Linked DNA regions of Oryzias latipes. The protein of the gene in region 3 binds, or shares a complex with, the protein of the main gene of each other region. Links are inferred from orthologs where the notes say so. Each region holds a gene or a part of one and is shown on either strand. Other genes may lie near its edges.

Region 1 (5,592 bases), on a different chromosome or scaffold from region 3:
TTTTTTATTAGAATTGTGCCGTTTTTTTTAGCTAAAAATCAAACAAAACTGTTGTTTTCTAGGTCCTGTACAGCAGCAGTAGTTTGTTAGAAATATGCCTCCTAAGTTGTGAAGGGGGTTGTTGCTGTGGAGCAACACCGCTCCCCTTCGATGCCGAGAGCTCTCCGTTTACAGGATTCCCTGCTAGCTCACTGCCCCGTCACAACCCCAACCTTCACCTTCACACTCCAGTCAGCAATACGTTGAAGCGCTCACTTCGAATGAAAAGTCAAACCTCTTCCAACGTGCCAGTAAGCAGTAGGAAAAGATAGCCCCTCCCTGCTTGTCCAGTGTGAACACCTTGGGCTAAAGACACTTTCAAGAATGCTGTAGCTTAACTTTACTGCCATTCAGACGAGGAAAACCAAGATGTACATGGATGCCCACAAGAATGAAGCAGAGTGCAGAGTTTGGGCCCCGCCCCATGTATTTTCTACGTCACAAATACACTTTTCTTTTTTAAACTGCATTTTTTCATCCACTTCTCCATCTGGGAATCAGAAATACTCAAATTATGAGCTTAATTTTCTCAATATACGTCTTGCATTGTCAGAAAAATGCCACAAGAACATGTTACCGTGATTTTCATCAGAATGGGTTTTTAAGAGGTAAAGGAGATCATTAAATAACTTTAAGCAATGAAAAGACAGACTGGGGGAGCATAGCAGAGTAAAAAAATGGATACCTGGAAAACAAAGCATGCATTTTAGTTAAAAAAAATAAATAACAGACAAACATCTGAACTGGCTAAAGGCAAAGAAACCAAATTAGCAGGAATTATTCAAATTCTGAGCTCCAATAAAGTACTTCCAGCCCATTAAAACTCCCTTTTTAGCTGGAAATTCAAAGCAGGAGCCTTTATTTTGTTGCAAACATTTTTTAATTTAGGAAAAATTAAATGAAATTACATTTCTTTAAATATCTCAACAGCAGTTAAAACATAAAGAATACAGTTTCCATGGACATCCTTCCATTAGTTGTGGGTAAGACACAAGAAAACCCAAACAGAACTCAAGTTTAAAAAAAGGCACAGACGACATCCAGAGAAATGGGAATATACAGAAAATGTGCAGAACCAAAGATTTCACAGGCTGATTCAGAGGTGAAAAGAAAAGCCCTATTGATCCGTGTGCATGTTGTTATTTTATAGTCATGGTGCAGATGTGGCTACTTTTTTATTTATTTTTAATTTGTGTTTTCTTTTTTAGAAATGTACAACCCAACGGACAGGACAGTCAAAAAAAACAGGCTTTATTTCAGATTGCTGGAAAGGGGGAACCGAGTCAAACTGCAGAAACAAACACACAGCCCCCCCCCCCCCCCCCCCCTCCAGTTAAACTCACCTTTGATACAAAAAAAAAAAGTTTAGCGTAAAATAAGACAGAAAAACATTTATGTAGCGCTTGTCCAGCTGAAGAAGAAAACTAAAAAGGAACACTTACTGGATAATAAGAGCACAGTTTGGTGCGGCTTTCAGATCTTTCCAAGAACGTCCCGTGAACTTTTAACAATAAATAGATGATGCGCACCCCTCCCCTTCTCTAGTGTGACTGGCATTTTGAGACTGCAAGGTGTGCAAAAGAAAGACGTATGTTGCAGCTATCGCACGCCTGCACCGTCGATCCGCGTCTCACACACAAATGAACAGAAGAGACCTCGCTGCTGCTGATGCTGCTATGGATTTCCTGGACTGACTGAGCTCACGGACGTCGATAAACCCACAGTGCAAGTCCTCCCACGGCTGCAGCTGACTAAAGGAAGAGCGGAGATACACCGGCGTGGCAGCCTCACATCTTCTATGCAATCCCAAAATGAACTTTGGGGCTTTTTGAAAAAAAAAAAAAAAGATGGAATGAAGCTCCAGCAAAACGGGGTTAAACATCTGTGGATTAAAATTGATTTTTGAAGATTGTTTTTGTACCTTGTTTTTCCCAGGAGCCTCGGATCTGACGCTAAAAGATAATTTTTTAAAAAGATTGGACTACATAAAACAATTTGGAGCACCATTTTTCATTTTTCACATGGAAACAAAACTACAACCAAAAAAAAAAGCTGAGTCATTCTAAAAGGCAGCGGTTCTGACTGGTGGCACTAAGTTTGGACTTCCATGAATCCAGTCGACCGATTACAGTGCATTAAAAATGTGTGTCTATCGGGTTATGAGAGACCGCAGAGTTCCTTCTGGTCCGCAACACCTGTACGACATGAAATGACTGTTTTGGGGGAATTTTGTCAGAAGAAGGCAGAAGCCTTAAAGGGAAAAATAAACCAAAAAAGCTCTGTTCACAGGCTCTCCAGTGTCCTGTCGGTTTCTCATCCCGTAAACGCTGGTCGAGTGTTTTTCCACGTGTCATGTCTTACAGCAATCCTTTGGGTTGGATGAGTTCTCAAAGACTCTCGCTTTACCTTCCTGAAGGAGTTCGGACGCAGGATGTGAAAGGACGCTGAAGTATCAGTTTGCTGGATAAAAACAAGTTAGGAGTTCGTGCTTCGCCCGTCTCCCCCGCCTCACCACTCGGCGTCTCCGATGGATTTGGAAAAGACATAATCTCTGCCGTTCAGGTTCATTATCCCGTCTTTCAGGTGGAACTTCCATTTGTTCTTACTTCTGTGGATCTGAGGAGCGAGGAAGAGGAGGAGGAGAAGAATGGGAGAGTTCAGAACAGAGGGATGCTGCTGGAGCTTACCCTGATGCTACACCGCCGATCACTTCCATTGAAAAAGTCTAAGTAACCCTTTTGGGCTTCCGCGGTCAAAACTGTCACATTCACGGGTCGCTACACGTTTTTAAGTCAAGGAAACAATTGAACGCACGCTGAACGTTCAACCAATTGACTCTGCTTTAGTAGGGACGTATGGATGGCGTCCTTTTCAAAACATGGAAGTGCCAACCCTTTGATTAATTGATTATGAGGGAGTAATCAATAACTGTGGCTTGTGCTCGGCTAGAATGACGTCACATCAAGTCTTTCATACATCAGACTGAAGGAAAAAGGCCTGGGGCAAAGATTTGCACTGCTTCAACATTTCAGACCAAGCCTCTTCCAACGGTGAGTGCGTGCACCGGTAGCGACAGTCCAGTGTGAACACCGATGGCTAAACGTGAACGTAGCTTGACGCTCATCTCCTACCTTGTCATACTGGCACACCACGACATTCTCCGTGTCGAACAGCTCCTGGTTTTCATCATCACTGACATCATCTCCACTGTTCAGAGGCTCCTGGTGACCAAAAAACCCAAAGACTTCAAAGATCCACTCCAATCATCTTTTGATCGATTTTCAAAGCGTTCCCAGTGGTCTTTTAAAAATTATTACGCAGCTTTTAACCCCCCCCCCCCAAAAAAAAAAAAAAAATTTGCAGGGCGGCAAAAGTTCATTAGAAATTTGCCTCCGAGTTGTGGGCGGGATCAGTGACGTGGAGCGACCTCATCCCACAGCAGAGGACTTGGAGCAGGAAGCTCGAGGTATTATCTACGTCACAAATACGATCTTTTTAAACCGCAGTTGTTGGTCGATTAAAACGATCAATTTAATAGGTTTATCTTAAGATCCATCCAGGTTTATCTCTTCGAGGCAAGTTGTTCATTGAAACGCCCTACACCATAAAAAAATGTTTCAAAATGAAATGAATACTCAATCTTAGAAAATACCATTTGGATTGAGACTTGGCAGGTTTATTTCACTACAATGTAAAAAACGACCATCACATAGACATGATGTCAGCAAAAAACGATCGGTTCCATCATTCCGGTCCAATGAGTGGAAACACTCAATTTAGCAAAGTCATGTGACCATCCAGTGTGCTAGAATGTTCCCTTTGGATTACCTGGATGTGGAAAAACATTAGTGGTCCAAACTTTAAGAAACTAAAATGTAATCTGATTTGAAATCAACTGTTGTTTACATGTTTGTACACATTTAATTTACACTCAAATATCAGTACCCAGGTGCCGTTCAGTACTCAGGTATTGTTCAGTACTCAGGTAAGTCACACTAGTGGAAGTTTTGGCTAAAGATGGATCTGTTTTAGATCAGCGAACTGGATCGTTCAAACTGAATAAATAGACTTTTAATCGTCTTGGGGATCACAAATTATGACAGGAATCATCTGTGAAATGCTCAGAAATACAATTAGAAGCTTAATTTCCGTTATAAATGCCACAACAACATGTTAAAAACACCATAAACCCTGGACTGGCTCAACACTCACCTCTTCAACTTGCCCGTCTTCCCCACCGGTTTTATCTTTCTCCTCTTCGTCATCTTCGTCGTATTCCTCCTCTTCGTCCTCGTCTTCATCAGAGGACGAGTCTCCAGTTCCATCCAGCTGCACCATCATGGCGGGCTGCTGCGCCTGCGGTTGGGCCTGAGGCTGCTGCTGCGGGGCTGCCGGCTGGGCTGGGGCCTGAGCAGCGGCCACAGCTGCCCCCTGCTGGACCTGAGCTGCTGCTGCCTGGCCGGGCTGCGGCGCCATCGCTGCTGCTTGCATCACCTGGCGGCAGCCAGAGATGAGAGCAGAGTCATTACGTAAACCTAGAGCAACATCCCACAAAAAAAATAATAATTGGGAAAACATTAATTGGTGCTCTGACCTGTGTGGTCCCTTGAACTTTATTCCCTGGAGCCAAAACGATCTGCTGCGGCTGAATGATGACTCCTGCTTGCTGGGGCAGTCCACCCTGCAGAGGAGCTAAAACCTGCACGTTTGCAAGAAAAGGACTCCAAGTTTTCAGAAATCAATTCCCAGACTGGTTTCATGCTCAAAAGGATGACCTCACACATGGACTGTACCTGCTGTATAATGGGGGCCTGCACGCCGCCAGGCTGCATCTGATTCTGCAGGACGATCTGCTGCTGAGGCTGGATGATGTACTGAGTCCCGTTGGGAGCCCGGACCACCTGCAGGAGCTGACCTGCATCAACAGGAAAACAAAAAAACGTTTTGAGATCCAACCACGCTAAAGTCCAAAGGAACGGTGAGAGCTTTACCTTGGCTTGTGATGAGCTGTTGGTAGGGGGTGACCCCTGTGGGCAAAGCAAGGGTTGCTGCAGTGGCTGCTGCGGTCTGCAGGAGGAAACACAGAAAGCCGCTCCAATTATACCAGAGCACAAAAAGGTGGATTTTCTAGGTGATAAAAAAAGAAAAAATCTTCTTTTTTCTTTTCATTTAAGCCTTAAAGGTTTCAAACATGGTCCATCACTTAAGGAAAAGCTATAGCGGCGGCTAGGTTTCAAGCTCAAAAAGACAGATGGCCTCCCCACAAGAAAGCTTTTCCCTTTCTCGGTTTTGTTCTCCAGGTCCTTGTTGAGAAAAAAAGTCCTCTCCCAAAACCCACAGCCCGGCTAGTTTTCCTAACCGTCGCTTCCTTGATACTATCCCAGATATTCCCCGGGTGGATTTGTGCGATGACAAAACGGGACGTTTGGGAGAATTTTTGGTTCTCAAGTGTGGCGGTGCAGTTTTCAGCTTGTAAGATGCTACTCACCATTCCCGTTGAATTCATGTGCTGTATCATTTTAGAGTCCTGAACTATGACCTGCTGCTGGGGAG
Region 2 (5,971 bases), on a different chromosome or scaffold from region 3:
AAGCTGAGCACGGCTCCGTTTCTACAAAACATCCGTCCCAAATGTTCATGATCACCCACCTACGGATGATTCTCCTGCAGGTCTGACGGAGACCTGCTCACAGTGAAGCCCCCCTCCCTAACAGATGATCTTCTCTGTAGCTTCTAGCAGCTCCAGCTGACAGCCGCAGAGATCTTGTAAAATAAAAAACTGCAGCACCAACATGCCCCCCCACCCCCAAACCTGCTGGTAGGTGGGAATCGGTGGGAGAATAAACCTCATTCCTGAAAGAGAGATTCAGCAGGAACGATTTGCTGATGAAGCCATTTCAGAGAGAAAGGCGGAGCCTCACGAACGCGAATATTATGGGTGCATGAACGGCTGCGCTGCCTAACCTGCTGGGTCATAATGACCCCGCCAACAACTGGGACAGAGAAAAAACCCCTCGCTGCTGCCCTGGCGCCTTTTAGCAAACACTTCAGGAGGAGGATATTCCAGCGGGATAACAGGCGCTCCAGAGAGGCGACTCTGCTGGAGCGTGAAATCAAACTGCCAGGCTGTCAGAAATAGGCATGTGAAGGGAAGGAAGTTTGCTTGTGTGCTTTGTTCTCTGAAGGCGCTGGAGAGGAAATCATCTGAGGAGGCGGGGGCTGGAGAAGGAGCGCAGCAAAGTCCTGAAAAAAAACAACTTTGACTTCTCCAACTTTGTACAAACACAAAATTCCACATTTATTCCACTGGTAAACACCAACATTTGGACTGTTTTCAGGATTTATGCTCAACTTGTTTCTGCTTCTCCTTAAAGTCTCACTTTTCTTTGGGGTCTGTTGTAAAAGTGTTCCCAGTGCTCTTCTAATGATGAAAATCCAAAATCCTGTGTTGTTCTCTAGGACACAGTTTCTGCAGAGCGACCGGAGGTCATCAGAAATTCACCTTTGAGTTGTGGACGGGACTGTTGGCATGGAGTAAGCCCGCTTCCATTCCCATCATCCCTTTGTTTCCACTCTATCCCACTACCTTACAGCCCCTCACACCCCCAACCTGACATTAGCAGTTCAACAGAAATGTTTAGCTACATCAGATCTATCCATCCGTTCAGTTCTGATCCAGATTCCAGCTCAGACCAGGAAATCAAAGAGATTCATGGATCTTTTTGTCTGCAGGTGGATGATCAGAATAGAGCAGAGCAGGGAGATTTTGACGTATTTTCTTCGTCACAAATCACATCTTTTTCAAACTGCATTTTTTTCTGCTCCTGATTCACATATATTTGAATAAAGAAAAGCCAGAAATGCAATTTTAAGCTAAATTTTCTTCATATTTGTCCTCCATCATCAGAAAAATGCTTTAAAAAAACACCATTTTCATCAGAGTGGGTCTTTCAAACCAGTTTTTACTTTGAACTCAAGAGACTTTTGAGTTGGACAGATGTTATTGCTCTAGCAGGACTTTTGTGAACTTTGGTCTCACAGGAGTTTATTTGCATAAACCTCTTCTGTGCCTGAGGTTTATTTGCTCTGGTGAACACGTGTTTACTAAAACATAAAAGGATGTTACGTCATGTAGAAAGGGAGGGGGAAACACTGCAAGAGGAACTGGTTGAAGACAACATGGCGGCAATACATCATTAGCCAAAACTGAAGCTCTACGTCTCCCCCCCCACCCCCTTCCCATTTCAGTCTGAGAATATTTGGGGTTTTTTTTGGGTCCAAAACCACAAATTTAATTGGTGACCCTAAGAGTTACGTTTTTTTTCCAGCTTTTAGAGTTAAAACTTTAACACGGGAGACGTCTTTGTCAATCTCTTCTGCGATTAACTTGAATCAGCTGATCTGCAGAGAAAAGAGTCTTTCTGCCAGTAAAGAACAATTCAAACCAGCTTTTCCCACGATCTGCATATAAAGTGTTTCATACTGCCGCAAAGTCGCCTTTCTCTGCAACGGAATACTCTGATTCACTTTAATCGAGTTGAAAAGTTACAGTGAAGTAATGTAAACACTGGTTAAAGCTAAAGCTCCGGTGTAACACTTTTACAATTCTGAACACTTTTGCTTAGATCCTTTTTAAAAAGAAATAAAAGAATGACCCCTTTTGCCCCGTTTTAAGCTCATGCTGCACACTGAGATGCCACAATTCTGAAGTCTTGTAGCATTTCTTTTTCCGGCTAATGATGTTCTGCCACCCCTCTTGTGAGCGACCAGGTCCCCCTCAAACACAGAGCCAATAGAAGACAGCCGCCCCCCCCCAATGAAGAAGCAGCCTGCAGGACATCCACACCTTAAAAACCCAACACCAGAGGTGAGGCTTGAGGACGGTCCGCCTCTAGAGCAGAGAGCACGCAGACTGCAAGCTCCTACGGGTTCAAGTACAAAGCCCGACTTTCGGAGACAAACCGGTCCCCCCCCCCCAGAATGAGCCCTTACTGCAGGCGGGTCAACACCTGTGCCGACTTCAGCCAAATCGCTGATTTGCGGGACAAGGTGAGTTTTTTGGCGACTTGGACGGGTCGAGTTCGTCTTCATCCCGGCTGTGTTGACGGGATGTTCGGGTACCTTTACTGGCCGCCAGCGCTTCCCGAGATCCCGGGGGGGCGTTGATGTCTCCGGCTCCCTGGAAGTAGACGTACTTTTTCACGGTGATGAGGTTCGGAGCAAACTTCCAAACGTCTTCGCGGTCATCGATGATGCAGACCATGGAGTCCCCACAGGGGAAAAGGTACCTGCAAACACACCCTTCCCTCAGAAACAGGCAGCAACTTCAAACACAAACACCTTCCACCTTCACTACGACTGGGAGGAAACGCTAAACAAATGCCTGGGATTATATGATGGAACCCCTTAGAACCAAACACACCCTCCCAGAGAGGGGTAAACATTGCAGGTCTCACTGAATGCAGACAGTTCTGAGCAGACCTTAACCGTTCTAATGAAACCCCATCCTGGTTCTACCACCACCGTGCTTTACGGCTCGGATAGTGTTCTTCCAGCTTTTTCCTTCCAGGCTGAAAGGTGATTCTTAGTCATCTTCATCGGGTCTGAAAGGGTTCTGGATTTGTCCACACATACGTCTTCCGACACAGAGGCTGTTTTACAGCGGCTCCGTTTACATTATACATGCAAATTGCTCCGTTTCATTATTTCTCTGTGATCCCGAATCGATCTTGAGGCTTGTGAAGCCACCTTAAGAGAAATCCTGACATTTCATAAATTAACGGCATGATTGTAGAAAAAAAAAGCGTGAAGATTATTGCTCTGCAGGTTCACCGAGCGGTTTACCCCTTTATACTTGGTACGGGCCAACAGCATGCCCGTGTGTCACAGACAGCCTGCATCTACCAGTAAGGGCAGTAATGACCAGGGCTTAAGGAAGTATGTCGGTCACGTGATCAGTTGCGCCAAACCGTCTCTGAAAATCCCTTTGGTTCTGCTGCAACACAGGAAACTGAACAGCAGAGCGGATGTTCCTCACCTTAGGTTTCCCGTCTTGGAGAACGGATCGATGCATTCATCTCTAGAAAGGATTCTGTGGGAGAAAAGCTTCTTTTCGGGATCCAGAAAACCTAAAAAAAAGAAGAACAGAGAAGTGTTTTTAAAGCTTTACCTTGAGATGTGTTCTACAGAAAACCCTGGGCTGTGGCGTTTATCTGGTTCTTCTCTGGCTTTCCCTCTGTGCCATGAGGTTTTTGGAAAGTCGTCATGCTTTGGGGAGAAATCGGTCAATAAAAGCTGCTCTGATTCTGAAATGTACGGACGCTCTGCATCAGTGAAGGCAAAAATCCAATCCAAATGCATGAAACATTCATCATGAGGCGGCAGAGCGGTGCCAGAACAAAGCTGCTGTCATTATGAATAGTCAAATAAAAGAGTGCAGCATGAATACCAAGAAGATTCCAGAGAAACTCACAGCCTTCAATAAAGCAGTGAAAGGTTTATGAGGAAGAAAGTGCAGCTTTAAAAACTTCATTCAATCATTTGTTTGGAACTTCAGCACCACAGATTGAGAGAGGAGCGAACAGCTCCCTCTAGTGGACGCGTGCGGGAAGTACAGCAACGCTGGTTACGGGGGCTGCACACTCCGTCCGTCACTCAGGTGCATTCATGAGGGCACAGCTCCGCAAAACCTGCGTTTACCAGCAATAGTGTGTGCATAGAGGCGGCTCCCGAACGTGAAGACGTGCAGCTCGTAGAGTTTGGCCGTTTTCTCCAGGAATTCCTTGCAGTGGGGGCGCAGGCGGGTGTGCAGCATGGGCTCGCCCCGGCCCAGCTGGAAGTGGAAAATGCCCTGAAGCAAACACACACAGAGACGTATCAAAGTGAACTTTCTCCTCAACTCAACATTCAGGTTCTAAAAAGACAAAACAAAAACAAGAATGACAACATTAAGGACAGTTTTTCTAGATCCAGTAACTGAAGATGATCTGAATTAACTCAAAAACCAAATCTGATATCTGGGAAACACATTTTCTTAAAGTCAGTTTACAGAGAAAACTTTTAGACTGAACCAAAAACGAGTCCATTCACACAACGACAGATGTGATGTTTGAACTAAAAAGTGGGATTTTAATCCAGAAAGCAAAGAAAAGAAGCCGTCAGGTTTTTAGTCTGACGTTTGTTTACATCTGAGGAAGACCAGGAAAGGCCCTCAGTGATGAAGCTCTCGTCCTCTGAAAGCATCAACCTTCTCCTCAAATGTGACAGATTTATGTTTATTCCCCTGAACAGACATGACATAACATGTCATGTCTGCAAAAGATGTGATTTGTGACATAACAGACTCCTGCAGCAGGTGAAGGTAGAAACACCAACAGGGCCCTGATGGGAACAGGCCCTTCCCTGATGGGAACAGGCCCTTCCCTGATGGGAACAGGCCCTTCCCCTGCAAGGCCTGCTGGGAAACAGGGATGCATTTCTTGGATTATTCTTCACCTTTTAAACATGTTTGGGTTCTATCCAAAGCGACTTACAGATCGAGGCAATGTGGGTTCCTGCCCAAGAGCGTTTGAACCCCCAACCAGCAGCATGAAGTGGTGTAGCTCTGGCAGACTGATTCCCTCAGAAACCCCACATTAGAATCTGACCGGTGACTTTGCAGGCAGAAATCAGAGAAACCCTTCTCCTCCAGAACAAAGCCATTAATTCTGACAGTACCGAGCTTTTTAGAACCCACTTTGTTCCAGGACCTAAAGCCAGGTTTGCCTCCTGGGCTTCGCCTTGAGCTGTACCTTGTTGGACATCTGCTGGCAGTGCTGCTCTGTGGTGTGGATGAGCGTCTGGTCCAGATCCACCATGAGGACCAGCTTCCTGTTCCGGTGCAGCCTCTGCTGGTCCTCTCTGCCCAGCTGCTCGGCTTGCTGCCAAACAAAGGAGAACCCCGCCGGTGAAGCCGAGTATGACAGGCTTATGGGTACATTTTCTCCACCGTTTTCAAACATTCATTTGTAGAAGAACCAGCGTGTGGTCCACTGCAGGAACACTTCTTTAACCTCAGACTGAGAGCTTCGTCTTGGATATGAACTCAGCTTGAAGTGTGGACGCACAGACAGCTGCCATCGTGACTCACCTCAGAGCTGACCATCAGTTCAGGGACACTGTGCACCATGGAGACGGTTGCCGTGGAGATGGGGGTGTGCTGGTTTCCGTTTGTCCCCTGAAGCCTGAGACGAGAGAGAGAGAGAGACCACGCTCAGGTCCTCCAGCAAACTGTCAGAGGAGGTCTGCTATTTGTTTCAGATCCACCACCAAACACACAATCCCAACACTTACACCCCAGCACGGATGGATGCTGACGGAGAAAACAGGAAGTCAGCGTCAACAAATCCACATTTACTCACAGATGTGTACATTTAAGGAGCTAACGAGTGCATTTTTATTGAACTTCACTGTCACTGATGTGGTTTTAACAGCTATGGAAAAAACACAAGATGTCCAGGTAATGTGAATGTCTGCTCATTTAAAACGGTACTCTGGATAATGTAGTTCAAAATCCTTTTACA
Region 3 (6,645 bases):
GCGCTCCGGGTTGAGACGCTTGAGGATCTGCGCCAGCACGTTGACGGTCTGCTCGCTGCTCAAACCCGTACGCTTGGTCTGGAACTTCTTCAGCAGGTCTTTGGTGGTCATCGGTTTGCGGATCAAGTAGCGCCGAACCGCTTCTTCGGTTAGCTGCACATCACTGGAGAGGGAAATCCAATATGACTCAAACTTATACTGATACGTTAGTAGTATCAATATTGGTTTTTTTATTCCCATAATTCCACTCTTCCTGCAACTGGAGTAGTTAAATGACTACAGACGAATAACAAAAACTCAATCCGGATGAAGGTATCCTATAGACACATTTCTAACAAATGTATTTCATGTTTCTTTACAAAAATGCTCTTTTAATTCAACTCAATCATTTGTTAAAATTCAGAATGCACGTGTGGCGGTGTGCAGGATAAAAGTACCTTGAACTAGGGGTGGATTTGCCTGATGAAGGTTGAGGTGTACTCTTCCCTGAGGGTCCTGGGCTCTGAGAGCTGGGCTCCATTTTAAGCCTTTTGGCCGCCGGCGAGTCGGCACTAGGACCCTGTGGCGGTCTCTTTCCTGTAAAAAGCAGAGGTTTGATCACAACAGCAAAACAGGAGTCCCCACCTGTGCTGACACGGGTCGTCCTGTTCGAGGTCACGTTCCTAGACGTGTCCGAGTGCAAAAACCTGCCTTGCTCTAGTTTGCTGGCGGCTGCCCGGAGCGTGCTGGAGGTGGAGCCGGAGTCGATGGAGGGCGTCCCTGGACGGCTGCTGGTCCTGGAGCTGCCTGCAGAGCCGCGGCCTGCCGCACGTTTGGGGGGCGTGCGCTTCTTCTGAGAAGAGAGGAGGGGTGACGCTTTTAAGTTTACATGCTGAACATCCGATTCCCCCTCAGTTTGCTTTATTTTTGTTCAATAAATGTTTCTTTTATAGGTCAAAACTGCACATAAAATAGATTTTTTCTTATTGCCATTTTATCAAAAGGATTTGATCTTTTACCAAAGTGACCAATGGTTCTTTGCAGCTGAGCAAATCCAAATGTGGACTCAAAAATAAAAAGTCACAAGTTTCATGTCAAAATACATGGAAATTGAGACTTCAAGAACAAAAAAACGTAAAATCTGCTTCTGGAAAAATTGATGCCTTTTGAAAAGAAACATGATACTTAAAGAGGAATAACACTAAAAACAAAACTAACCGCCATGAACAGAGCAGAGGCCGTCTCTCCCTCAATGTCGCTGTCGTCCGAAGTCTCTGACTCCCCGCTGCTGTCTGCGACAAATGAGCCTACATGACTTTTTCCCCTCAGATACCTCTAATCATTTAAAAAAAAAAAACTTGTATAACTGATACCTTTTTTCTTTTTCTTTTCCACCTGAACCGGAGTCTTCTTTCCTTCCTCCTCCTCTTCTTCCTCCTTTGCTTCTTCTTCATTCTGGTTCTCCTCCTCGCTCTCCTCCTCGCTCTCAGATGCCTCATCTATGCCTATTTGAGCAGAAACCAACAGGGTAGCCGTTCATTTCTCTATAAAATGTCCTTTTTAAAAAAAAAACAGCTAAATGTTCCTAGTGTAAAAACAAAAACCTTTAGGGTGCTCCTCCTGTTTGTTTGGCTTCTCCTTTGTTAGCTCCTCCTCTGAACTAAAAAGGAAACAAATGATCTAAAAGTGTCACGCATTTAGCTTTAGTTTGAATTCAAAGAACGTAGAAAATCAAAAATGCAGACTTGTTCTTCTAAAAAGACCAAATAAAAACATGTTCTTTCTTTAATATGTATATGTGGTAAATACGCTGAGGAGCCCACCTGCTTTCATCTGACATATAATCCACCTCTAGACCCTCATAGTCTCCATCATCGCTGTCTTCCAGGGCATCCTTCTCATTGCTCTTTTGTTTCTTTTTCTTTGCTTTCCCTTTGGCTTTGTCTTTCTTTGCCTTTGCTTTGTTTTCTCCATCTGCAAACGAAGAAGAGACGGAAGCTGCAGGTGAGGAAAATGAGCTGACAGACGTTTGGAGGAAGGGGCTGAGCGCCCTGACAGTTCTGGAGCCTGCTGCATGGATCCTTACCATCTCCCATGCTGTTGTCGCTGTCGTCGCTGCTCATCTCCAGGTCTTCATCCAGATCATGAATTCGCAAATCTCCACCCTTCCCGCCCCCTTTCTTTTTCTTCTTTCCGGGTTTGTCGGCGTCATCGTCATCCTCCTCGCCCCGCTCCTGTTCCCGGAGGCGTCTCTGAAGCATGATGCTGAAGTGATTCACCACCTTGTTCCGCCTGGACAAAGAAGGAAATGACTTTTAAAACACAAAAGGCATTCTCCAAGTCCAGCTTGCTGCTCTGCTAACCTGCCCCACTCCTCCTCAGCTTCCTCTGCAGTCAGAGTTCGGTGCTTCGCCACCGGCGTGAAGTTGTACCAGCCGTGAACGGGGAAAGCCTCGAAGGCTCCATCAGGACACTGCGTAAAGATGTAGTAGGATGCATTTTCTGTCACGCCGCCCTTCTTTATACCTTTGAACCTGATGCAGAAAGACAAATATTATAGCCAGACTGAAGATTGTAGAACTGGAATCATAGGAGAATCTTGCTGCAATAAACATTTTAGGAAAAATAAAAAACACACCAACAGATTTTGTTAAAAATTGGTGAGGATTACACCAAATCTTACTCAGTACGAAGACGTATTTGCTCATTTTCTACAACGGTTAAATAAATATGGTTTATTGATTTTCTTTATTTGAAGAAAAAAAAGTCATAACTTCAAGAAAGCCTGCAGGTAAATTAAAAAAAAAAAATGTACTTAAGTTTCAAAAATAGAAACATTTATCGCTTTACCTTTTTCCTGCTTTTCCGTTGACCTTTAAAATCCACGGCTGATCCTCCACCTTGAACTCTCTGGTCACAATGCCATACTTCTTCCGCCGCGCTTCCTCGCGCTGCTTTTTGCCAAACTCGCTCCCTGCCCCTCCCTCTGGTAACTCCTCCTCGCCATATATTCGCCGAGCACTCAGGTCGCGTTCCATGCGAGCCTGGGGGAGTGACAAAGCAGGATATTTAACTTAATACCTTTTTTTTTTTTAGAACTTTTATCAAACAAGGGAAGTCCCATCGAGATTAGAAATCTCGTTTCCAAGGGAGACCTGGCCAAGAGGCACCACATTTCAATACAAAAAATACATTTAAAAAAACATCATTAGTACCACATATGTCATAAAACGCAGTTGCTTTATTAATCCGTACTCCCTTGTATTTTGTCACAAATTTCTGAATTCCTAAGGATGTTTTAAGAGATCTTATTGTTTTTAATTATAACCAAATTTAAAATATAGATTTACTTTACTGGAGCAAAAAAGAAGACATGAAGCCCACCTGTGTCCAGGCCGAACAGTTGACTTTGTCTCCAGAATTAAAAGCCATGATGTTGTACTTCTTGCTTGTATTTCTATGGGGCAAGAAAATAAATAAAAAAATAAAAAGAGTTGTTTTTGCAAGGCGGAGTCAAGTAACACGTTGACAAATTTAGGGCAGAATGATGCAAAACATTACTATTTCAAAGGATAACGGTGTCATTTCTGTGTTATGGTCAACATTACTAACACATTACTGCTTTCATTTACTCACTTGGGGACTCTCACTGTGTATTCTGTAGTCGAAGCACTGCTGCCCCCCTGGAAGATGGTAAACAAACAAACAAACAAACAAATAATGTGGAATTTCTATTAAAAAAAGGTTTTGCTATAAGATCAGCGACCTTCTGATTGAATGAGTTTTTGCCTGCATGCAACTCAGGCTTTACAATTAGTCTCCACTGATAAATTCGTGTAACATTGTCTTCTGTAGCGCAGATTAATAAAGTTTTCTTTCCTGCTGTAACCGGAAGCTGCCGGGCTAAAATAGCTTAAATGAAACGAAAACATTTTACATGTTAATAATAATAAAAATAATCATTAAAAAAAAGTCAGAACTTACCAGAGATGTCATGATTGTTTATCAACAACTTCTGGATTTGCCAACACTTCACTGGAGCTATTAAGGGTTTACAGAAAAAGAAAGGACATTTTAGCAGGTATTTCACTAATGTTTAGTGCAACATGATCATGTCGGCCATTTTCATAATGTGTAAAAATATGATTACGTTTATTACAAAACTAGTTTTATAGACGGGTTAGAAAAAAACAAATGTTCGAAAGCAAACAATCACCGAAAACTGGTTTTATTGTGAAAGAAAATAACAATGAATGCTGAGTCTCACCAACCCGGTCGTAGAGATTTCAATGGTTAGCTCTGATTAGATCATTAGATCTCCAGCACGATAAACGAGCTCATATGGTCGTTTTAGTCCAACTTCAGACCGAGTGAAGATGCATAAAAGGAAAATGAAATACAAAAATAGTGTTGTTGTTTTTTTTAAAAGAAAAAGCCCCGCATCTCCGAGAGTAAAACACTACTACTGGTGTACCGGTGAGGTGCGCGTTGTTGCAGCGTAATCGTTCCGTCACTTTTTACGGTCGACAGGAAACCTTGGCACGTCACAAATAGTTCCTATTGAAAATGCAGACAGTAACTGGAATGAAAGAAAAAAAAATCAAACTAATAAGTAAAAACAGACTTACCAACAAAGAAAAACATATAAATTAAATTTGTTTCCCTGAAATGTAGTTTAAAATTTATAAAAACTTTATTAAAAAAGTAAAACATTATTTAAAAAAGTAATTAAATTAATTGTTTCCTTTAAAAAATAATGATTAGGCTGTGAACACAGTGTTAAGAGCCGATTATGCTTGAGTGCACCTGAATGTAAGGAAAGGAAAGTGTAAATGCCATTCACAATTTTTACAATTTGACAATTAATCTGTGATCATGGCCGGCCCTCCCTATACGCGAATTACGCAGCCGCGTAGGGCCCCCACATCACCAGGGCCCCGAAGTGGCGAAAAAATAAAATAAAAAAAAGACCCAAATCTGGCAACCTATTTCATAGCTGTGAATGTTGTGCAAAAGAAAGTTGGCTGCACTTTAATGATCCCCCTTGTCAACAAACCTGAACCAATCTGGCAACCCAAATAATGACGTTACGCCACTCTCAGCAACGATTGGCCAACATCACTGCATCTGAGCCTGGCACAGTGTGCATTTACGAGCGCATTTTGTTTCAATAAAGTTGAGAAAAGAAAAAAAAATAGCTCATTTTGTCACGCTGATCAAAGCGACAACAAGAGCACTTCATGCCAAAGAGACTTTATCCATCAGGAGCTGAAAAAAGATGAACAACTTCAGCATCAATCACAAGGTAAGTTTGGAGGATGATGGGGCCATATTTTTTACATTATCCAGTATTTCTGTGCATTCGCGATTTAAAATACTAATTGATCCGAAGTTCGGTAAAGTTAGAAAGACAGGTGAAGTTTGCACATAAACGACCCCGTTTGTTGTAATTTCCAATGGAAAACTCTAAAATAATTCTGATACCCAAGTTTCCTGGATGAGGTCAGACAGGACCTTCCAAAACGGCGAAGAGAAGATTAAATAACGACAACGGTGATGGCTGATAAATGTTTAACTCACGTTATTGTATTGTTTAATTGTTTTGCTAACACATATTTAGTGCGTTCTGCATTTTCCGGTTTACGTCAGTATAGAAACTGCTGTTTATCTGTTATAGACAGTCTGGTAGTCTGACTTTTTCAACAATGTGTCTTAAAATCTTGCATTGGCATGGAATATGGAGAATCAAAACTGCCAAATACAAGTAGGAAATAAAGGTTCTAATTTATTAATGACAAATAAAATAAATGTACTCATTTTAAAATTATGAACATACAAAATAATAGAATAAGAAGTGTATAAATGCTTATATTTCCATTTATACTCAAATTATTATTCACATTTATTATTTATAAATAGGTACATTTCTTTCTCATTTGTATTTCGCAGTTTTGGTTCTACATAATGAGGATGTTTTGCACAGTTCCGTGTCAGCCAACATTTTCTTCTGCTCTCAAAAAGTATCAAAAAGTATTGGAGGAGGTGCAGCATCCACATCCCCTCATGTGGCATGTAAAGTAATTTAAAAAACAGTGTCTGCATAACCCCTTTTTTTCCATAAACAGCGGCTGAAGAGTATGGAGCCCTAAACTGTTCTTAATAAATAAATAAATATGATCTTGTGCAAATATATAATCAAACAATCTATTTTTCATAAATATATAAAAAGATCATGACATTGTGAAAAACCTGCACACAGATTTTAACCGAACCACTAAACTATTAGTAGTATTCTGCTATAGTTATTTTATTAACTTCATCATTAATTATTGTATAATGATTCTTGTTTTTTAGCTGCAGAGGAAACTCCTGTCACCACATCTTCTGTTGAAAGGGAAAACGTTGATGCTGCTGCTGGTCAGTTCAAATCTACCCAATATGGAACCCAAATCAAACTTATTGTTTCATTATTACTTAAAAGACAGTTATACATTTGTGCACACACGCACAACAGTGAAGGCACTTCTTTCCAACATTCTGCACTAGATATATCTCATTTATATTACAACAACAGTTGCGTTTTGTTGGTGCTGCTGATCAGTTAGAGGGCCCACAAATTAAATCTCGCTTAGGGCCCCCGGAAGACCAGGGCCGGCCCTGTCTGTG
Region 4 (5,627 bases), on a different chromosome or scaffold from region 3:
CCCGCCCCGAGTTTTTAAATTGCATCAGCCAATCGGTGTCCGCCTTTCAAAAGCAAACAGAAAAATGCCAACCAATCACGAGTGAGTATGCTTTAGGAGGCGTGTTGTAATTGGTTCGAAATATACCGGAAATTAACACCCTGAGTACGACGTTTAGTGTTTACGTCAAGAGAAGAGAGAATTTCAAACGAAACGAAAATGAGTTTTGAAATGGGAATTTAAACAAACAAACAAAAACAAAACACGTTTTGATTTGAAATGTCTAATCTTGTGCAACAATCCAAATTTATATATTTTCAATGATTTTGTGTCTTTATTCAGGAAGAACTAGAAATGTTGCCCAATTTCCTTAGTTATACATTTTCCATGAAACTAATTAGTTCCTTTTAATACTAAGTCATATGACTGAAGGAATTTTGCATTAGTCGGTTATTTCCTTTCAAAAACCAGTTAAAATCAGATATTGTTATATGAAAAATATTAAATTTCCTTCCCTTAGGCCTAATTCAGAACTTATGTCCGCTGACAGAATCCAATTTTGTTCTCAGATCTGTACACTGCTGTGAGCCAATTTGAGATTCACATTTAAAACTAGAATGCTTTAGCACTCTCGTCCAATAAATTATTTGCTTTTTACTCAGTAAAAACCTCATGAACATATGATAAAGATGTGAACATTTTCTAATATTACTAAAACATAAATTCACTCGTGTAACTCCATTAGTCGGACTAGGATAAGCCTCGTTCCTCCTCCTCAGCATGTCTGCAGCTCTATTCTCCATCTTCATCTGTAGCCACCACGTGCAGCTGATGGCAGAACCGTCCATGATGAGCACAATTGTATCTAAGGAGAAATTCACCATAAGTAAAAAAAAGAAAGCGTAGTGATCAAAACATAATTAAGATCACCAGAACAGAAGGTGCCAAACTGGGAAAATAAGTTCATTACTGATACATGAACTGAACATGACATTTGAAAGATGCTTCAGTAACAGCTTCATTTAGGCGACAGCTTTTCTCTGAGAAGCAGCTGTTTCTGCGCACAAAATATATGATTGTTCATCTGCAAATCATTTCCTTGTATTGTAGAGAGAAATATGGCCAACGACCAATCAGTTACCTGTTAACATGGACTACATTATGCTATTTTAGAGCCATATCCCTCAGGCTTTGATCCATTTATCCATTTATCTCCTGTACTAACTGAATCCTTTTCGTGGTCACAGGGCTGCTGGAGCCAATCCAGCAACAATTGGGCAAAGGTGGGGTACACCCTGAACAGGTCCCCATTCTGTTGTAGAGCCATACACTCGCATGCACACCTAAGGGACAATTTAAAATACTGGTAATCAATTGACCTACAAAGCATGTTTTTAGACTGTGGGAGGAAGCCAGAGTGCCTGGAGAAAACCCATGCATTTATAAAGAGAACAAACCCCACCTAAATTGACCCCAGGCAGGATTTGAACCAGGGCCATCTTGCTGTACGGCCACTGCTCTACAATGCAGCTCCCTTAGGCTTTCAACTAAAATACAATTTTTTTAAAATTTCACATCACATACTTTAAAGCTGCAGTTAAAGTTTACACCAAAAGTAACAGCCAGGATCCTGGCTCTGAAATTACAGATAAAGAAAGGTTTAGAGACTTTCTTTAAGCCACACAACACAGGCGGATGGACACTGATTAAAGGTTCAGACCACATAAAGTACATAAACATACCATAAACACAACTTAAAACATAAAACTTGTTTAATTTGGATTTTTTTGTTTCTTTTCTGTGTAGCATAAGAAGGGAGTCCATCCATCAGTGGCTGTGCTTTTAATTTGTTGAACAACTAGTGCAGCTTGCATCTCTTGTACTTTAACATTCTCATCTGTTTTTGCACCGGATGTCTGACTGTTTTACATCTACTTTAATTTTAAACTTTTCATTTTAATCCAATCCTATTGTTTTATTTTGTATCGTTATCATGTTTTATGACATGTGCTGCTGACCTCTTGACCAGGTCACATTGCAAAAAGGGATGTTGATCTCAATAGGCTTTTAACCTAGTTATATAAATGTTAATGAAAATAAATAATAAAATTAATAAAAAGTACATTGTTGATTTTCATCATGTTGATCTCGTATTTGTCTTTACTAGTAATTATATCCTTTTACTCAGAACAGCTACTTGTTCCCAACCCAAACTTTTTTTAGGAGACAATGGAGGCATGGCTTTGACTGCTGCTGTAAAAGAAACAAAGAACCAATTTCATATACCTACCAGGAGAGGGCGCTCCACTCGGAATCTGGATGTGTGTTCCGAGCGGAAGTTCTATATCAAGACTTCCGGTGTGTTCCCAGCGCACTGAGTCGCGCGGAAAGATGAACGCGCCTCCTGCTTTCGAGTCATTCCTTCTATTTGAAGGAGAGAAAAAAATCAGCATCAGTAAGGACACGAAAGTGCCGAACGCATGTCTGTTCACGCTCAATAAGGAGGACCACACGCTGGGAAACATCATCCGAGCGTAAGAACCGCGCATGCACAAACAGACAGACTGTCACAGAGCTAACAGTCTCTGGATGGATAGATTATAGAAGAAGAAGCCAGTTTCTGACTGGTTCTGTTAGCCCCGCTTATCATTCCTTGACGTTTTGGTTAGCTAATAAGGAGTGTTATTGTGTGACCTTTGTGTTTAATTTCCAAGACTTACATGTATAAACGAGAGTGACGCGCATGAATTTCATGCTCAATTTTCATGATGAAAACACAGTCCGTCTATGATCTATCTATGCAGCAGGGTTGTCACATATTTTTTCTCCTGTGTGTCACTGTCAGTCAGCTGCTGAAGGATCCTCAGGTTTTGTTTGCTGGTTATAAGGTTCCCCATCCCCTGGAACATAAAATCGTCATCCGAGTGCAGACCACCCCTGACTACAGTCCACAGGTAAGGCAAAGACCCAGCGTGTAAACACAAACGGTCTTATGCAGCTTTTTTCTTTGACACACTTCTTGTTTCGATTCAGTGCAAATCAGTTATGATTCAATTTTTTTGTTGATTTATTTTTACAGGCTGTATTAGATTATGAGAGCTTTTAGTGATTTAAACATTTGACAAAATTGGAGTTGTCATTCCAAAAAAATATTCTTAGAACTGCAGCAAACACCTTTTCAAAAATGACAGGAATATTGAGGTTATAAATTCCTACCTATAGAATTGTTTTCAGAGTCAAATGTTTTTGAAGTTTGTCATTTTTCATGTGTGCTTGTTTGTCATTGCTGACAGGGACTGAGGTGGTATTTCATTAAAGGAAATTGTCTTTTCAACAGGAAGCCTTCACAAACGCCATCACTGACTTGATTAGTGAGCTGTCGCTGCTGGAGGAACGCTTCAGGGTCGCCATCAAAGACAAACAAGAAGGCATTGAGTGATTTAAGCCCATCACAAAATTTCCTGTTTATCTTCATTTCTGTTGTTTTTTCTAAATAAATGTGATGCCACTCCCTGTTTTGTGAGAGACTTGATATTGAGCATCAGCTGAGATGACTCTCACAAGGAAACGGTTTGATCTTTTGGGGTCAGAATTCTTGTGTGAAAGTAGCTGCAACACAAAGCTGCATCTGATCCAGCTGATCAGTATGATGACAGGAACCTCCAAGGATCACTTTCATTCAGAAACCAAGGATTTGCTTCTCTCCGCTCAAACATTGTCAAATGAAAAAGACAAGATGGCAAAGCAACACTTTTATTGAGATTTTATAAAAACAGCATAGAATTGGGGGGGAGAGGGGTGAGGGGCATGATCGTTGTGAGGTCAGGGGTCAACATTTTTCTGCACCTCCATGGCTTGCTGCATCTTCTCCACCATCCAAATTGGAACGGTGAACGGCTTCAGCTCGTCCATTCTCACTTCAGGAGACTCTCTGCACACACACACACACATCTGTACCCATGGCAATCACAGCAACAACGGAAAAGCTAGAGCCGCCAATGACAGCCATTCTACATTTCAGTGTTAAAGGGTCTAGTATTGTGATCAAAACTTAAATGCGTTTCAGGGTGAAGTCACTCAAACTACACAATCTGCTGAAGCAACAGTAAAAACCGAAAATGTCTGCAGGTTCTGATCCATGAAGCTGAGGGTGTTCCTTCAGAGCGTTTTTGTTTTATTAAACATTTGAGATTTTAAAATATCTTTACTATCCAATGATGTGAGCTTGCTAAAGAAGAGCATTCTTCAGTTTTCATGCATTTTACATCGTGGTTTTAGAAAAAGGCTTCATAAATTGTGTTGCATGCTTTCATATCTGCTCTCGGGTTTAAAATATTTTCACTCTAATATTGTGAGAAAATGTATACTGAAAAGAAACTATTCTAAACATGATGAATGGAGATTACAAAGAAACTCTTTTTGCTCTATCCTTCCACTCATTTTTTCCCCCAAACATCTCAGTTTACAGTCTTAGCTGCTCAACCTGTAATTATAAACAATCAAACTTAAACTGCAAAGACTTGTGGGATAAGATGACCTCAACCTGAAGAATGATAACGCAGCGGTTCCTACTACAAAAGAGGAAGTAAAGCAAGGGAGTTTCTTTTCTCTACAGTGTAATTTTCTTCATTATGGTCCAAGCTGTCAGGCAGAATCCCTACAAACCTAAAGTTCAGGTGCTGTGATGTCACACTCACCTGTACTCATCACTGCAAGACAGCTCTTGGATGTCCTCTTCAACCAACAGGTAGGCCTAAGTGCACACAAACATCATCCCATCAGTCAACTCGCTGCAGTTGTTCAGGATTCCTGTCATGAATGGTCAGAGTGTAGCCTTCTCAAAACGACAATTGCAGTACAGAAAAATGTGGGATATAAATAATCTGGGATTTAAACCTCAACTGGTTAGCAGAAAGGCTACTCAACCCATCTCCCTTATGGCATAAGCAGCCATTGATAATGAACATTGACACAGTGAAATGTTTTAATCCCTTCTCTACAAGAAAACGTATTTAAAAGCATAACTTGCTGTCTGCACAGACACCCTTTAGTATCTCTGGTGTTTTAATAATCTGTGGCAGCAGGTGGCGCTGCAGTCATACATCTGTGTGGTGCTGGGTTTCTCACCATCTTGCCCCCTGTGGCTCTCATGTGGTGTCTTTCTGCCAGCCACTGCTTGTCCTTGGAGTCTGCAGCATACTAACGCACAGAGAATAACAGTTACATCACTTCCTGTCTGTTCTGGTCAAAGACAAAGGACAGCTCGTTACCTTAAACAGGTCCGCATGTTTGATGTAAATCCGTCCTCTGGTCCCGCCCATCCCGAGAGCTCTGCAGTGACATCAGCAGTGTTACTTCAGGAAGACACGTCACTGTCACATGGCGGCCCGACTCATGAACCATCACCAGAGCAGCTTAACCTCCAACACCAACCAGGTCATGGCTGCTGGTGGTGAGATGCTCCGCCCCATGAAACAAACCTCCACCTTAACGGTCCAGTTCACTATCCACAATGGAACCACCTCTGGGTGTCAACAGACACTCGTACCCCCCTGCTGCTTTTGCCTGCACTTTAACACCTTAGTAAAATAATAATTACTGATAATTATTTAAAAATCCAAGAAATCATATTGTAGATTCTTGTAGAA

What was found.
Region 1: gtf2f1 (region 3) and gtf2a1 share a complex: the UniProt entries of both Homo sapiens proteins name them as parts of the TBP-based Pol II pre-initiation complex. The link is inferred for Oryzias latipes from reciprocal best matches to the Homo sapiens genes GTF2F1 and GTF2A1.
Region 2: the proteins of gtf2f1 (region 3) and ctdp1 are in contact, whole or in part, in an NMR structure (PDB 1ONV), measured with the Homo sapiens proteins. The link is inferred for Oryzias latipes from reciprocal best matches to the Homo sapiens genes GTF2F1 and CTDP1. Residues at the interface, in NP_002087.2 of Homo sapiens: Thr470, Lys471, Leu474, Gln478, Ser486, Thr489, Val490, Leu493, Ala494, Leu497, Lys498, Leu500, Asn501, Pro502, Arg504, Met511, Phe513; in NP_004706.3 of Homo sapiens: Ala946, Asp947, Met949, Ala950, Lys951, Ala952, Leu953, Glu954, Glu956, Leu957, Asp959, Leu960, Met961.
Region 4: gtf2f1 (region 3) and polr2j share a complex: the UniProt entries of both Homo sapiens proteins name them as parts of the TBP-based Pol II pre-initiation complex. The link is inferred for Oryzias latipes from reciprocal best matches to the Homo sapiens genes GTF2F1 and POLR2J.

The regions. Positions count from the first base shown.
Region 1 is NC_019882.2:4,166,251-4,171,842, forward strand, and holds the end of gtf2a1 (transcription initiation factor IIA subunit 1), read right to left. Parts: coding exon 5,528-5,592; intron 5,107-5,527; coding exon 5,031-5,106; intron 4,955-5,030; coding exon 4,833-4,954; intron 4,739-4,832; coding exon 4,634-4,738; intron 4,534-4,633; coding exon 4,252-4,533; intron 3,261-4,251; coding exon 3,171-3,260; intron 2,656-3,170; coding exon 2,548-2,655; 3' UTR 1,962-2,547; downstream 1-1,961. UniProt on the Homo sapiens protein: TFIIA is a component of the transcription machinery of RNA polymerase II and plays an important role in transcriptional activation. TFIIA in a complex with TBP mediates transcriptional activity.
Region 2 is NC_019869.2:25,070,957-25,076,927, reverse strand, and holds part of ctdp1 (RNA polymerase II subunit A C-terminal domain phosphatase), read right to left. Parts: intron 5,633-5,971; coding exon 5,539-5,632; intron 5,330-5,538; coding exon 5,201-5,329; intron 4,261-5,200; coding exon 4,110-4,260; intron 3,539-4,109; coding exon 3,448-3,538; intron 2,699-3,447; coding exon 2,532-2,698; intron 1-2,531. UniProt on the Homo sapiens protein: Processively dephosphorylates 'Ser-2' and 'Ser-5' of the heptad repeats YSPTSPS in the C-terminal domain of the largest RNA polymerase II subunit. This promotes the activity of RNA polymerase II.
Region 3 is NC_019866.2:14,105,549-14,112,193, reverse strand, and holds the start of gtf2f1 (general transcription factor IIF subunit 1), read right to left. Parts: upstream 4,514-6,645; 5' UTR 4,247-4,513; intron 4,021-4,246; 5' UTR 3,976-4,020; coding exon 3,964-3,975; intron 3,663-3,963; coding exon 3,616-3,662; intron 3,437-3,615; coding exon 3,364-3,436; intron 3,024-3,363; coding exon 2,830-3,023; intron 2,514-2,829; coding exon 2,343-2,513; intron 2,272-2,342; coding exon 2,066-2,271; intron 1,954-2,065; coding exon 1,803-1,953; intron 1,640-1,802; coding exon 1,584-1,639; intron 1,485-1,583; coding exon 1,353-1,484; intron 1,272-1,352; coding exon 1,198-1,271; intron 833-1,197; coding exon 691-832; intron 577-690; coding exon 438-576; intron 164-437; coding exon 1-163. UniProt on the Homo sapiens protein: TFIIF is a general transcription initiation factor that binds to RNA polymerase II and helps to recruit it to the initiation complex in collaboration with TFIIB. It promotes transcription elongation.
Region 4 is NC_019863.2:18,094,099-18,099,725, reverse strand, and holds polr2j (DNA-directed RNA polymerase II subunit RPB11-a), read left to right. Parts: upstream 1-2,258; 5' UTR 2,259-2,298; coding exon 2,299-2,513; intron 2,514-2,824; coding exon 2,825-2,933; intron 2,934-3,316; coding exon 3,317-3,418; 3' UTR 3,419-3,494; downstream 3,495-5,627. Other genes in the region: dnttip1 (deoxynucleotidyltransferase terminal-interacting protein 1), read right to left, coding at 3,802-3,910, 4,677-4,732, 5,107-5,178, 5,250-5,310. UniProt on the Homo sapiens protein: Core component of RNA polymerase II (Pol II), a DNA-dependent RNA polymerase which synthesizes mRNA precursors and many functional non-coding RNAs using the four ribonucleoside triphosphates as substrates.